Yarrowia lipolytica: one gene and its partner. The main gene of each other region encodes a partner of the protein of the gene in region 2 in a complex. Links are inferred from orthologs where the notes say so. Each region holds a gene or a part of one and is shown on either strand. Other genes may lie near its edges.

Region 1 (7,133 bases), on a different chromosome or scaffold from region 2:
GACATCACTAGCCCAGCTTTCCGACACCAACAATGACATTGTCGCTACGCTAAAGAGATGCCAACTCCGAGTGGGTACCAGTGCCGTGGATCTAGGACTCCAAGGTTTCGAGATTGGTTCTTGAACGCCTTTAGTTTCGGATATCCACCATCGGAGCCGAGTACAATATCGGCATTAAAAGTGGTCCAAGTACAGTTCTTGACTGTACCTATACATCCCCGACCTTTAAGAGAGCTGACAAGACATGATCAACCTCCTACAACTCACCAAGTTCATCAAATATGTTCCAGCAGTTTTCTCTTGACGGTCCTTACAAGTCCCTCGCAACCCCCACGGAATAATAACACTACTGCGCTTCTGTTGAGCGGGGTATCTTAGTCTCTCAGTGGACTGGCATGTTGTCTTTCGGAATCAGTTAATGAACCAACTTCGACACTAACATAATGATATCTACTAGATACTGGACAAAGAGCGCGGCTTCTGTAGCCTGCCAATGGACATAAATAGATGATAACGACTCATCCGATGTTCCTCAAGAATGATCTTCTCTCTGCAACTACTACTGACGACGGCACTAGCGGCCTCTTCGCCTGACTGGTACCCCACACCCGAAATCGGTTCAATTACCAGTGATTGGGCCGATGCTCTTGGTGAGTCCATGGACATCCTGGCCCAATTGACTCTTCCCGAAAAGGTCAACATCACCACCGGTACCGGATGGAGAGGTGGGCAGTGTGTTGGAAACACAGGGGCTGTTCCTCGTCTCGGAATCAAGGGCCTGTGTCTCCAAGACGGTCCTCTGGGCGTCCGTTTTGCCGACTTTGTCAATGTCTTCCCTTGCCAGAACGCAATGGCCGCCACCTTTGATCGTATCCTAGTTCACCAACGAGGAACCGCTATTGGACGTCAGTCTAGACTCAAGGGAGTCGATGTTCATCTCGGACCAGTGGTGGGACCTCTTGGACGACACGCTACCGGCGGAAGAAACTGGGAAGGTTTCTCCCCCGACCCATATCTGTCTGGAAAGCTCGCCTTCGAAGCAATTCTTGGAGTCCAGGAAGAGGGAGTTCTTGCAACCATCAAGCACTTCATTGGAAACGAACAAGAACATTACCGGCGAGCCGAAGAGTGGAGAGACGGCTTTGGATTTAAAGACCTGAAGGACGCCGTCTCTTCCAACATTGAAGACAGAGCTCTACATGAGTTGTACATGTGGCCGTTTGCCGATGCTGTTAGGGCTAATGTCGGCTCAGTCATGTGCTCCTACAACTACGTGAACGGAACCCAGGCTTGCCAGAACAGTGACTTGCTCAACGGAAAGCTCAAGTCCGAGCTCGGTTTCCAGGGCTTTGTCATGTCCGACTGGTTTGCTCAGGGAAGCGGAGTGTCTAACGCTCTGGCTGGAATGGACATGAGTATGCCTGGAAATGACGTTGATGAGTTAGAAACTGTCTTCTGGGGAGAACAGCTGACCCGAATGGTTGCCAACGGTACCCTTCCAGAAGCCCGTCTCGATGATATGGTTCTGCGAATTCTGACCCCTCTCATCTACTTTGGGATCGACGATCGAACACCCAACTTCTCCTCCTTTGTCGACACTACAGTGGGAAGTCCCCACCCCGCTGCTAAGCACTCCAAGAAAGTCAAGGATGTTATCACCAACTACCATCTCGATGTGCGAGACCAGTTTGCAGCCAATGTTGCTCTTGATAGTGCTCGAGGAGCTGTTGTTCTGCTTTTCAATGACGGTATTCTTCCCCTGAAGAACATTTCCGCTATTGGAGTATTTGGAGTCGGCTCTAGACTTGGCCCCAATGGAGCTGTTTGTGGGGAAAACATGCAGTGCTCAGACGGAGCTCTTATCGAAGGATGGGGAAGTGGAACTGCTTACCCTACGGAGTACGAAAGCCCTTACGAAGCTCTCCACAAAAAGGCTTCTCTACTTGAAGTGTCAGTGACAGGAACCACCGAGTCATGGGATATGAGACTTCCTCTTGAGCTGGCTGGAGACACTGACGTGAATATTGTTTATGTATTGGCAAATTCAGGAGAGTCTACTGCCAACGTTGATAAGAACCTTGGGGATCGCCGAAATGTCAGTCTATGGCACAATGGCGATGAACTTATTAATACAGTTGCCAGTCAGGGACAGACTGTCGTTGTTGTCACTACGGTTGGACAAGTTGACATGACCGCTTGGCTCAACCACCCCAACATCAGTGCCGTTCTTCTGACTGCTCCTGCTGGTGATTACGGAGGAAAAGCCATCGCTGATGTGTTATTTGGAGAGGTTAATCCCTCAGGAAAGCTGCCTTATACTATCGCAGCAAATACTTCTGATTATATTCCTATTGTCACCAAGATCCCTCGAGATGGAGCTCCCCAGTCCGACTTTGTGGAGGGAATCTATCTTGACTACAAGTGGTACGACAAGTTTGAAAGGACTCCCCTCTACGAATTTGGTTACGGTCTGTCATACACCACCTACTCCTTCAGCAATCTGCATCTTGATGTTAAGGAGATTAGTGAGTTCCTTCCTCCCCGGCCTGTTCCTGTACAGGTTACTAAACCCAAGATGACCAATATCGACATTGAGGACCTTTATGTCCCCAATGACTTTAAAATGATTGACGGTCTTGTTTACCCTTGGATTCTCAACGCCAGTGCGCCCCTCGCGGACTCTCAGACTCAGTTCCCCTTTGCAAATGGAGCTGGACATGTCAGTGACGCTTCTGGAGGAGTGGGTGGTCACCCCTGGCTTTGGTCTAACGCTGTTACTGTCACTCACAACACCACCAACTGCGGTGATGTTGCTGGACGAGTAGTTTCTCAGCTGTACGTTGCCTTCCCTGAAACCCTTATCGACTCTCCTCCGGTGCAGCTTCGAGGATTCGACAAGTCCAAGCTCCTGAACCCTGGTGAGTCTCAGATGACCGAGTACAACCTCAACTGGCGAGATCTGGCCATTTGGGACGTGGAACTGCAGAGCTGGAGAGTGCAGCGAGGCGAGTATTCCGTGTACATTGGTCATTCCAGCCGAGAATTCGAGCTATGTGAGACTTTCACTTTGTAGTAGTCAGTCACCCGTATTAACTAATCAATAAATCTATTATAAATGCATCCCAATCCTTCTCTTTTATATATCCCTCTAGTTCTTTCTCTTCATCTCGACCGCTCGCTTGTATGGTGGGCAAGTAGGGCTCTGAACGGGGTCCAAGCTGACTCGAACTCCCTCTCCACTAGGGAGAGTGTAAGTAGCGTCTGAGTCGTACTCCGACAGGTCGCCACAGGCCACAAAGGGAGCGACGACCCGCTCGGAAATAGGCAGAGGGAGCTCCTTGTTGACCATGACGCCAGTAGCGAGATCGGGAGACCATCCCGATCGAGGCTTGTATCCCTGACACACGATGAAAGACTCGAGAGAAGAGCCTCTGGAAGATCGGGGCTTTGCACAAGTGACCTGCTCGAACAACAGACCCAGCTGGAAGTACATGAGATCAATATCTCGTCCTCGGAAGATTTTGGCGACAAAGTTTCCTCCGGGTCTCAGTAGCTGGGTGGTCAGCTGAAGCGCAGACAGAATCAGCTGTGCCTGTGTGTACTCGTCGAGATCGTGCAGACCAGTGACATCGGGAGCTCCGTCAGAACACACAAAGTCGGCAGGCTCGCCTCCAAACTCGTCCAGAATCATCTTCAGAGTTTGAGGATGCGTGATATCGGCCTGGATAGTGGTGACACCAGCAATGGGAGCCATGGGTTGCAGATCAACAGACACAATCTTGGCCTTCTCCATGGTGGATGATTTTTGAGCAGTAGATTCCCCGGTGACAACCTTGCCTCCAAATGTCGACCCAGCCACCGTCTTACCGCTGCCAGCCTCGATACCTCGCTTCTCAAACAGCTCTCTGCTCAGCACCTGACTCCAGGACCCAGGAGCAGCACACAGATCCACAACTCGCTGAACACCGTCAAACAAGTGGAACTGCTGATCCAGCTGAAGCAGTTTGAAGGCGGATCGCGCTCGCCAGCCCTCCTCCTTGGCTTTTCGGTAGTAAATGTCTCTCTTGTCCTTGCTGCTTTTTCCCATTTCTGTCGAGTGTAGTCAGAGTGAAAAATAAAAAAGCTAATCTGAAAGTTTGATAGTGGTGGTGATGCGAAGGCGGGGGTCTACAATGTCTACAATAGTTGCATTTGACGCGGCTTTCTATAAAAAGAAGTGCAAACAGCTCTGTCTCTTTAAGTGCTCAACAATCGAGTCCATTTGTATTTTCAGCTAGTGCGTTTTTTTTTGCATTTCTGAGAGGTATTATTCTTACTAATCGAAGGTGGAAATCCAAACTGACTTTCTTATAATTTAGTTGATAATTAGTTAAGAAATTAAAAACTCTAATATGCACACTACAATGCCCTCGAAGAGTCTACAGACTGTATATTCTCCATCTTTATGGTCAGCCAAGTAACTAGTACACTACTTGGACATTTCTCATCTCATCATTACACCCTTGTCTGTCAAATTACGGGAGAGCATTTGTAATGATGCATGCATTTAGGTTCAGAGAGCGCAGTGCGGGGTGTTCAGAGATGGGTCCTAAAAGTGCGCTTTTAATCGACAATTTAGGAGATTTGGCCATTAATATTACTCAGCGGACCTTTCTGTATCATGTGACATCCATATTTCACCTCTGCAATGCTTACTAAGTCAACTAATTACTCTCCTTGTCCCCTCCGATATTTGCCCCCCGATAACCTACTTGTTCGGTTGGGACTACAACCTAAACCACCTTGAAACATCACCACTGCAAATTACTTTTTCCGCATCAAAAACTACACACACCCACACACACAATGCTGCGACAAATGATGAACTCCCGGCTCTTTGCCGCCCGACCCGCGTTTGTGCGACCCTTCTCCACTACTCAGATTGCGCGAAATGCCTCGTGGAGACGTCCAAACGAGCTGAACGACTACGAGAAGCAAATCAGCCAGATGCTGACCGACGAGTTCAAACCCGTGAGTCTGGATGTGCGGGACATTTCCGGCGGCTGCGGCTCCATGTTTGCCATCCAGATTGTGTCCGACAAGTTCAAGGGCATCCCCATGGTCAAGCAACATCGTCTGGTAAACGCTCTGCTTGCTGACGAGATCAAGCAGTGGCACGGTCTGCAGCTCGTCACCAAGGCTGCTTAGAGGAAGCGATAGGGATATGTGCATCAACAAAGAGATGTTAGACAAGAGCCTGTGAGCCTTGAGATGAGGATATGTATATAGTCAAGGAGACATTGGACGATATGAGAGTTGCTACTGAACCACCTGTGGCTAGAAGAGGAGGTAGGGGCAGTAAGTACATGCCAGTAGTGTTGTTGTATGGATATGTCGTTAATAAATGTTCTACCGGGAGTGTCTGTATCTTACTACAGAACAGTGTGATACACAGTTCTTTGCCACCTTGATGACATGAATGGCCTTTTGGAAAGCATATTAATGTAATGATTGCACACAATATGTACAGTTTGTAGCGTTACCCCCTTTTTATTTATTCCTTGTCATATCCCCCAGTTCGTCCTTCTCTTAAATGATGTCGTCGTCACTATCACTATCTTCTGCCTCCTCGCCGAGCTCCTGGAAACTGGCGTAACTGAGCATGATGAAGGCTCCAATGATGATAAGACCTCCAATCACGCCTCCAGTTCCAATAGGCGTGTCGAACAGAAGCCAGTCGACAATAGCCACCAGGAAGATGGTCAACAGGGCAGCGACCGATCCGATAACGGGAGAAGTCAGGGCCATGAGAATCAGAAAAGCACCTGAGAAGATGGCGTTGGACGCAATGTTGGCAATCATGATGCCGGCAGCTGATCCATGGGGCAGCTCAAACGGCTCCAGGCCGGTCCAGTGAAGGATGGGAAGCAGCAGCCACAGGAACAGCAGAGTACAGAGACCGATACAAAAGGCCACCACGTTGGCAAAGGCAGCCTGACGACGTGGGGAGATGGTGTTGGGAGGGCAAGCCAGCTTCTTGTACATGACTTCATAGAGACCATAGAGAATGGCTCCCACTCCGATAATGAGGTTTCCGATACCTCTGTGGGGGTAAGAGACCTCGCCTTCTCCCTCGTTAGTGTCCCAGTAAGACACAATGAGCACACCAATAATAGCGACCACCACACTGACCACCTTGGCAGGCTTGAGAGACTCTCCCAGCATCGGCACGGAAAAGGCATAGGCGAAGAAGGCCGAGCAGTTGTAGATGGCGGTCAGGTCACTGGGGGTGGTGAGGTTTACGGCAATGTACCAGGAGGATCCAGCGAAAGACAGGGCCACAAACAGCCAGAAAGATGTGACCATAATATACTTGAGCGGATGTTGACCGGAGAAGTCACCTGCGTGTTCTTGAGTGGCTCGGGCGGTGTTCAACACGAGCTCGTATTGCCGACGCAGAAAGACTCTCCATGGGGTCTTCCATCGCTTGAAGATCTTGATGAACAGCAGCTGTAATGGTAACAGAAAGACCCACGACGAATGTGTCAGGTACAGCATAAAGATGGGTTTCTTGTACTGCAGGTTATGAGCCACGTAGCCGGCTGTCTCGGTCTGAGCCACAAACGCGATCAAACTGACCACCAACGAGATTCCAGCATATAGATACCGTTTGTCGGGTTTGGTCTCGGACTTGAAGCTGTGAGAGGGACGTCGATGTTGAGAGGTCTCACGTGTGTCATAGTCGTGGACGTGGTCACGAGAGTCGCGTCCACCTTGCTCCAGAAATCCGTCTCGTTCGCTCATTTCGTTCTAGCAAGGGACTTATAGGCGAATTATCCAATTATCGGAGACCGAAGACGTTGCACGTTTCAGCATTCGACAGATGCTGCACTGCACGGAAACCCTAACCCGAAGGGTTTAATGTCGTGTCAAACGCGGCCTGGAAATCTCCTTTTTGGAGAGATTGGTCACGTGTATGATAAATAATTCCCACGTGATGCGGTGTATAGCAATGGTGTATCTTTTGGCAGGCCCTAGGTCTTATCTGGATTGGTCAAAGGTGCGGTTAAGCGAAAACTTTAAATCACGGGTTGTGCTGGAGTTTTAACTTCTGGGGGAGGACAACACAGGTTATGAGTTTGGGAAGGAGACGA
Region 2 (8,996 bases):
AATGTACTCGTCCGAATGAGTGTCTAGCACCACCAAAATGCAGGTGCAAGCGGACTCAATCACCTGCGGATCGTCAATGTAGACGTAGGAGCGCAGCTTTAGCAGCATGGCCAGCAGCTCTGACGTCATATCGGTCAGTTTTGGAGCACTGGGGGCAGCTGTATACAGCAAAAGAGCGAGAGTTTTGAAATAGTGCGCCTGAATGATAGACGAGAACGAGCCAGCCATGATTCCGGTACCTGCTTTCCACCATGAGTCGATCAGCGGGAAGATAAATAGATGCGCGACCTTGGAAAAGTGGTTGGTTGTTATGGTGGTGTTTGTTTGTCCCTGGCGTTGTTTCTGGAGACTAGAAGAGACTCTGAGCACTTTAGGGCCGTTCAGAGCCTCACTTTCACGGGACTCGGCGATTGTAGGGGAGAGAAGAGTCTGTTGGAGGTCAGAAGAAACGCTATTCAGTGGCTGAGCTGTCACCCCGTCCTCTGAAGCGTCTCCAGCTGGCAGAGCTGACTGGTTATTTAAATCAAGCAATCCACTTGTTCCTGTAAGTCTAGTTCCAGTGAGACTCTTGGTCCCAATATTCAAGTCGTTGAAACGAGCTGCAACAGCTGCTGGCAACTTCTTCATCTCCATTGGTTTCACATCAACAGTGTCAGTGAATCCATTCACAAAGCGAGCTCCAAGAGACAATGACGTCAACAACAACAGCCGATCATTAATGCTAATGTCTGCCGTATAAAACAAATCCACAATGTACGGAGCAATCTCAGGCTGAGTGCCCACCAGCACCACCAATGCCTGGGTTCGATGTTTATGGTAGTCTGGAAAGTCGAAATTATCCTTGAACTGAACCAGGGCCTTGGCCAGATCCTTAGCGTGCACCTTGACCTCGTTTCCATACTTTCTCTTTTCGAGAATGAGCCTAGCAGCCGTTTTCAGGGCAATATCTAGCTTGTCGTACTGGTCGTCGCCGTCTGGTGCCTTGAAGTACTCCAAAAGTTGTCTGATGTACACTGGTTTGCTGACTGTCTTGTTCGAGGGGTCTTCATCGTCAGAATCCTCTCCTTCGTCATCAGAATCCTTCATGTGACTTCTGACATCAAACCCGAGCTTCTGGTACCTGCTTTGAGTGTTTGGCTTGGCACTTCTCTCACTCAACACATCTGAAAAGATGGACGGAGCCTCCGAGTCGGGAATGCTTACATCCGGATCAGCACCTTCAGCGTCAAACAGAAGCCTTAGTGAATTGTCAGCCATCTTGTCAACGGACAACCCAGACCAGTCTTCTGAAGACTCAATGCCGAAATTCAGAGGAACAGAGCCATATTGAGCGACTTTTTCACCAATCAAGATGCCGAAATCTCGAACCCGCGATGAAGGAGAAGATAAATGATTAGTAATGCCATCCAGAAATGCAGGAGTCGCAGTCAGCTGCTGCAAGAACGGTTTAGTCAGCAGAGACAGACTCACGAATAACACTTCTGTCTGATGACGTTGCAGGGCAACGGGCGATTTTGAAATGTTCAATTTCGACCCCCATAGACTGAAAAGACCCATGACCTGCTCCTGGAAAATCGACTGGTCACGTGATGCCGAGATTAGTAGAGACTTGACCATATTCAGGCTGTTGACGGTGCTTGTTTGTCGAAAGAGGTCAATGACTGGAATGTTCAGCTGTGTTAACAGCTCAGCCAGAGGAGCAATTTGAACATCGTCAGAAAATTCAGAAGTGAAGTAGTTCATGGAGAAACTGAGCAGTTGCTTCAATTGGAACGGTTTCGTGTAATTAGCGACCGTGACAAGTCGTTGAATGAATGCAGAAGAGTAGATGCAGGAACAGATGAAGTTGTTGTTAGTGTGCAATTTGAGGGCTGAAATGATAATTATACCGATTAGTTCGTGCGATGCCGTGTTGTCACGTGATATAATCACACCTCCTAGCCATTTCAAATATTGTTCAATGTTCCATTCGAATTCCACCAGACCATTGAAGAGACGCGATCCAGTTAGCAGAGACGAAATCTCCCTATTGTAGGCGGAACTCGATTCTTTCTGAAACTCCACGTATCCCAGATCCATGACCGATCCCAGGACTGTCTTCAAATTGTCCATTTTGGCCGCTGTATATTCATTGCTGTCGTTCTTCAAGAGTCGGATTGTAGCTATCAAAATGTTCAAGCCAGTGAGATTAGCAAAAAGAGGTGAAATGTGGTCTAGGTCAGGTAATGGGTTGCTCAAAAGGACGTTGAGAGCTTCTGTTTGTGTCCTCGTCCGCTCATCGGGCGATTGATGTAGATATGACTTGGTTGAAAGCTCGGCTATGAGTTGCTGTGGCGTAACCGATGGGATAGAGCTTGAGTCAAGTGTTTCATCGGTGCGATACGAGTCGATTGGCGTAATTTTGAGGTCATGTGAGTCGGTATTGCGCGTGGTTGAGATGGCTTCCATGATTTCTAGATGTTTGGCGAGATTGAGGGCTGATTTCTTATGCATGGTGAAATATAGGGTTAAGGTTTGTGACAATATTAAGAGGGTATGCTTTGGGGGTGTTATTAAGGCGCAGTTACAGGTAGTTCTCTTGGGTGTGTTCCTGCGATTTTGTTGATAAGATTACATTCTCATGTTTGTTAGCTACACCGTTCAGTTTGATTTCCTTTGAATCATTTCGATCGATAGAATATTGGCTGTTTTGAACATACTTGGATGAACTTAAGTATTATTGTTTAGGTTACTTGACAATTCTCTCATAGATAACCACATCCGATGTCATCAACCCTACAGGGAGTCCTATCCCATGCATTCTCAATTATTATACCATTCACACTAACAATTCCCAGTCAGGCGCCCCTGTTCTTCACAGGTTTGAAGGCCGGTCATCTTCCCTTGGCACAAGTTCACTCGGTCCAGTAATCTAAACCGGCTCCTCCAATCAACAAACCACCCTCGTAAGGACACACACATCCAGTATCAGCCACAGTGGTAAACTCATCCGACATTAGCTTGAGCTCTCCGTCAGAAAACTTCCACTTTCGGACATTCTGATCAACAGAGACAGAAACAATGTCAGCTTCTGATCCGTCCAACGGAGCCACCTCCGTGATGGTACTAGAGTGAGCAGAAGCGATGGATGCTATCTCTCTCAGCTCACCGTTCTTCAGCTCGGTCACCACAAGCTTGTTATCGTCTCCTCCAGAGAAGATTAGTTCGCCCTTTCTGCAGAACCTCACAGAGCTTTGATGGGCATAAATGTGGCTCTTGGGTCGCAGAGAAGGCAGCTCATAGACCGAAAGAGACCCGTCGGTGGCACTGATAAGCGCCGACTTGTCATCTTCGACAAGATCCACGTTCAGCAGGCAATGCTGAGTGTACTTGAGGTCTGACACGAGAGTAAAGGAGGAGTTGTCGTACTTCCACAGTCGGAGGGAAGAGTCCGAGTAGACGCAAAGGAGCTCAAATCCCCCGTCGCAGGCTTTGTAAACAAAGTCCATGATTCGCAGGTCGGGATTATCACCTCGAGGAAGAGACAGCCAGGGAGTGAGAGTCTTTTCGGAGGCATTAAACTTCCAGATGAAGAGTTCTTCTCGTGCAGACGACGAGATGAGCAACTCCGGACTCACCCACTTCAGGGTCTGGATACCGGACGTGTGTTTTCTGTATGTGAGGAGGTTGTGCAACTGGCCGTCCCGCACTTCGGACAGAATAACATTGGTGTCTTCAGCTCCTGAGGCAACTACGGAGCCGTTGACGTCAATGGCTCGCACCTCTCGACCGTGGGAGTAATATGACGAGACAGGGATGACGTTACTGGCGATTTCGCACATGATTGACTTTCGCACAAAGTTGAACAGCACTTTGTTGTCACCAAAAAGCACGTCCCAGCTTCGATGAGCTCCTCCACAGTCGGCAGCAAACAACTGGGCGTTGGCAGACTCGTCTGATATGACGAACGAGTTGGTTTTGAAACCACACGTGATGAGAGGAGACAGACACAGAATCTTGAAGATGCTGTTCTGGCTCGATTTGTTGAGCAGTGAAAACTGTTTAGTGCGAATATCCAGATTACCATAGAAGCCATTCTTAGTGGTGAGAGTCACGCGGATCTCGTCTGTAAAGAGCACGTCAGTGACGGTCTCTGCGTTGATGGCCTTTCTGAAAATCACAGGAGTTGCATCCACGGTGTCAAAGTAAGCAAGAGCTCCGAATCTGGATCCCATAACCACATTACCCTTCTCGTTTACGTCAAAACACGTGACTGGGAAGGTGTCCATAGCTTTGTACCGTTTCTGGGTGTCCGTACCCACCTCGAGTAGAACATTATCATCTTTATCGTTTTGAGAAGTAGCAATTAGGTACTTTGCACCGCTAAGATCACGTGTCAGCATACCAGACACCTTTCCTTCAAACACCTTGGTTTCCGAAACCTGCTTTGTTTCCGTGTTGATGACAAACACCTGTCCAAACCGACTTCCTACAGCCACGAAAGGAGACCCAGGCCATCCAGCCATTAGATTGAGAGACCTCAAAGCGTCGTTCTGGTAAATCAGGCTCCAGGTCACGTCATCGCTGCTTCTGTCGACTAGATAGACTTCTCCATTGGCAGTTCCAACGGCAGTTTTGGTAAAGGACAGGTTGATGAAGTTCTTGAAAGCACCAGAGTTTCCAATCACGTGATCGTAGTCATATTCGGTCAAGTGATCGATCTCCAAGTCGAATTCCCGCCATCGTCCGTCCCCCCCTCCGGTGATAAGGCTCTTGTCTAGAATGTCAAAACACCACATGTTCTTGCCCACGTGACCGGGAAACTGCTTGGCGGGCTCCAGCAGACCACGTGACTCGTTATGAGACCACAAAATCGCAGTCGAATCCTCGCTGCTGCTGACGTAATTGTTATCTCCGTAAAACCCAACCTGCCAGATTCGAGCCCCATGTCCGAAGCCTGAGCCGACCAATTTTCCGGCTTTCAAGTCAAACAGCTTGACGAACCGGTCGTCGGAACACGAGATGACGTAAGCAAAGTCTGGGGAGATCTTAACGTCGAAAATGGAGCCCTCATGGTCCGTGAAGTTGTGCATAATCTTTCCATTAGCCAGCTTCCAAATATAGATTCCATGTAGCACAGTTCCCGAGGCAACTAGCACAGATTCAGAGTCCTCTGTCACGTGAAGTGAACCGGAATACAGCAGAGAGTTTTCCGAGCACGTGACAATCTCCTTGATCTTGAGATCGCTGTCCAAAATCAACACCCTATTGTGAGCAGTCAGAACGTAGATAGTGTCATTGTCAGATCCAAACTTGGCATCACAAATCCAGTCGCCCACAGACCGCTCATCACGTGATGAGCACTCCAGATCGGTCACCAGAATCGAGTCTCCTCCAAAAACCAGCATTTTGCCCTTCTTCTGGTCAATATCAATGCCATGGATCTTGTTGCGTCCAAAAAGCCGTTGGCTCCACCATTTGTCCCCAGAAAGAGAATATTTCGTGATGGACCGGCCCTGTCCGGTGTAAAGGCAGTCACGTGATACAGCTTTCACCGCAGTGATTGCTCCGTAGTTCGTTTTAGTCATGTTGGCGAAATTTTGTATGGGGAAAAAAATCTTGGATTAACTTTGGGATGCAGATACGAGCGTAGCGAGGATGCTGAGTTTGAGATTACTAAGCAGTCGATTGAGGTGTTGATAGGGGGTCAGGATCTTGGTTGAAAGGGTTTCAATTGTGCATCTGACCAAGATGGGGATCTTTTCATTGAATAATTTCAGCTATTTGCCAATAGTTTTGAGTTAGTGACCCCATATGAGTATGAGTTTTTTAAAGTATTAAGTATTTTTGTTAGAACATAGTCTGTAATTACTTTACAAAAACGAAACCTTACTTAGCTTAGTTGGCACATGTCTCTAGACGGACTTTCCTAGACAGTCTAGTTCCCCGGAAACAGGAGATTTGGTCCAAGTTGGTGATGCGGAAGGCTGAGGGTCTGGAGCATCAGGAGAAGCATCAACAGGCCCTGGACCAATGGACGTTGCTGGTGAGCAAGGGATTCACCACGAAGCTTGTCATGGATGGTAAGCGACGATGCCAGATGATTTTAACCCCCAAGTCTGCTCCTAAGACTGCTCCTAAGACTGCAAAGCCTGCTGTTAGACCTACTGCCAAGCCTGTGTCGTCTGCACCCACTCCAGCAGGCAAGTACGAGAACCTTGATCGTGTACGGGCCAGCCATGCTAAGATCGCCAAGGAAGAGGCCCGAGAAAGCTGCTCTGGGCGATGTCGTTGCTGTCAAGATTGAGACGTGGCGATCCGGCAACGAGGACAACAAGTATATTATTTGGACTTATATCTACTTGTATGACCATTATGCCTCTATAGAGATATATACTGGTTTAGATATATGTATCTTGTCTCTATCGCTTAATAACTCCATTGCTTACTAGTAGTTGAAACTTGGACTATAATACCCAATGGAACTATTCTATCTCGACCTGACACTTGGCTTTAATGTCTGTCTTATCTTTATCACTGACGAACATCTTCCCTCTCTCAATTCAACACCATCTAACCATCCTAACAAAAGGAACTTCCTCTGTTTCGACTAGTAAGTACTAGTACAGGACTCATCTACACGATGTTTATTTCTAAGGATTACCATCTACCGTATACAAGTATGTATAGTAGTTGCCTGATAGTTTATCGTAGAGACACTTGACGCCAATTCTGTCGTCTCAATCTCCCCAAGTAGGCTAGAACAGCCCTACATTTCTGTAAAGTAATTTGGCATATGTATTCTGAAACAATGTCACATTCTGAAGTCCTTGCCAGAACTATTTACACTGTTGTTCATATGTGGCCTCCCACTTTGCCCGCATCGGCTTAGCCCCCTAAACCCGACCGACAGTACATGTTCGGCCCGACTGCCGGCAGCGTGCCACAAACTAATGGTGTATAACCAACAACGGCGATTAACGGCTGCTCCTGACGATCGAAATTTACGTAAGCATATGAGGTACAACCACGTTTCCGAGACCCTCCCCATGAGGCCGGTAATATTGGTTCAAGCCGATTGGCCGGCGGCTTCGTACTTTTACGAGTACACTGTATGGTACAGTATGTACATACGAGATAGGGCAGCAGAAAACAGGAGAACGTAAATAATCTAGGTGTCTACATGGAAAAAAAAAGAAAAGTTCCTAATAGGGGAGACCAAACGTGAACGGGCTGGTTTTCGAGCAGGAGACCCTGTGAACGAAAAGAAATCCTTTCGCGGACTCCGTGTGTGTATATCTCATCTGTGCCGTTTTCTAAAGAGCTTCTGTTGAGCCATCAAACCTCATTTGGAACAGACCCCGGGACACTGAGGATATCAGTCGTTTTTGAAGATATTCAAATTCCGAAAATCGCAATCAACTCCTTGAGGCAGCATTATTCGCCTTATCTGGTCAGTTTTCTACTAGATCCACTTGTCGATCCCCTGTAACCCATTTTTCTGCACTTTGGCTACATTGCCTGTTTAAGAACCACTGTGCATGTACACACTGTTCGGTGCGTCACTGGACAATGCTCCAGAGAAAAAGACCACACACGCACATACACACACACAACACCTTTTCTTTGAGAACAGTTGGAACCACAATTAGTAAGCAAATTGGATCTGAAATTAGATTCAGGTGACTGCGTCACGGTTGCTCTCTTGTTGCCGTTCCTGGAGGTCCGCTTCTCTCTGTCTTCTACGGCGGGCTGCTTACACCTGAAACCTTCACCCTGCATAACATACTTGTCTTGACAGCAGCGTTTAATACTGTCACGTGACGCCGTTTGGGCGGAGTCCGAACTTCAGTCTCCGTCGACTTCTTGGAGAAACGGGTCTGTTTCCCCTTCCCCTCATAATCGCGGCTATTTTCGGGGCCGATTTGCGATCACTCATCAAATAATAATAAGCTCTAGGTTATGTTGCCTTGAATGTGAAACAGCTGTTTGAGTTTCATTCCAAACGGCGGGCGTATTGGAGTTGTAAGTAAGCAGCTGTATGTGAATGTGACAGCGTGAGGCGGGGCGGAGAGAATGGTGTGTCACGTGACCGATCTGGCTCTGTCGGAGAGAAGAAGAAGAAGAAAAGGGGGCTGGGGGTGGGGGTTGGTGTTTTCACGTGACCTCTACTTGGGGACGTTCGCGTTTTTGGTCAGGTGACTTTCCCCGTGATTTTGCCCGCTGCCGAAATACGCCCGGTTATACTGTCACCTCGAATCTATAGAAGTCAAAATTAGGGTAACAGGTTATGATGTTTTGGGACCGTCTCCAGAAGCTGTTGTGGACCAGCTGCAGGCAAACCGACGGGGTCAATCGAATCTCCGCGTCTCCAGCTCTCGATTGATACCAGAAAATATACACACACTCTTATTAAATAGCCCTCCAAACTTCCCAACTAACCCGCAATACAGTTCCAGTAGACCCCACACTCCACCACATCAGCACCTCCATCTTGCACTCTTTCGCACAACATCGACTGCTCAAATGGACAAACCAAAACGCCGGCGAGTGCGCACGGGCTGTCTGACGTGTCGCGAGCGGCATCTCAAGTGCGACGAGGGAGTGCCGGACTGTGTCAACTGCATCAAGTCTCGCAAGGTGTGTCGACGAGGCATACGACTCAACTTCATTGATTGCAAGGTGGGAGACGCCTCTCACTATGAAGTTAGTGACAGCTGGCGGCCAAGGATCTTTGACGAGTCACGAGATATAGCGGCGGGCTACGACGGAGGCCTCGGGCTCTATGCCAGATACCCTACTCCTGTCAATGATGTTGACATGGATGATGTGGGAGGTTCTCAAGCTACACAAACGGGTGTGGCAACGACAAATCGACATGCGGGCGGACAGATTACACACACACTAGGCGCATCCATGCCCAACCCGCTACAGGCGTTTCGACCGCCCCAAATACACAAATATGCATATTCGTCCGCCAAAGGAATGACTCTCAACGACCCCACGACGCCGTCACG

Evidence for each region.
Region 1: the proteins of YALI1_D29699g (region 2) and YALI1_F21540g are in contact, whole or in part, in a crystal structure (PDB 6JPL), measured with the Saccharomyces cerevisiae proteins. The link is inferred for Yarrowia lipolytica from reciprocal best matches to the Saccharomyces cerevisiae genes RTT10 and TRM7. Residues at the interface, in NP_015142.1 of Saccharomyces cerevisiae: Leu11, Tyr47, Asn48, Lys49, His51, Ala66, Arg67, Ser91, Asp92, Trp93, Cys111, Tyr112, Lys114, Ser129, Leu130, Gly132, Glu133, Arg134, Ile136, Tyr138, Met158, Phe183, Arg223, Trp225, Ser273, Trp275, Asn291, Arg658, Glu685, Thr835; in NP_009617.3 of Saccharomyces cerevisiae: Leu84, Pro127, Asp128, Val129, Thr130, Gly131, Leu132, His133, Asp134, Leu135, Tyr138, Val139, Gln142, Arg167, Gly168, Arg169, Ile171, Asp172, Met173, Tyr175, Lys189, Arg191, Thr196, Leu198, Asn233, Lys234, Cys236, Asp239, Ser242, Glu246.

What each region holds. Positions count from the first base shown.
Region 1 is NC_090775.1:2,149,945-2,157,077, forward strand, and holds YALI1_F21540g (uncharacterized protein), read right to left. Parts: upstream 4,088-7,133; coding exon 3,149-4,087; downstream 1-3,148. Other genes in the region: YALI1_F21504g (uncharacterized protein), read left to right, coding at 539-3,073; YALI1_F21547g (uncharacterized protein), read left to right, coding at 4,846-5,187; YALI1_F21567g (uncharacterized protein), read right to left, coding at 5,569-6,783.
Region 2 is NC_090773.1:2,964,307-2,973,302, forward strand, and holds YALI1_D29699g (uncharacterized protein), read right to left. Parts: upstream 5,568-8,996; coding exon 2,895-5,567; downstream 1-2,894. Other genes in the region: YALI1_D29668g (uncharacterized protein), read right to left, coding at 1-2,493; YALI1_D29703g (uncharacterized protein), read left to right, coding at 5,957-6,286; YALI1_D29728g (uncharacterized protein), read left to right, coding at 8,506-8,996.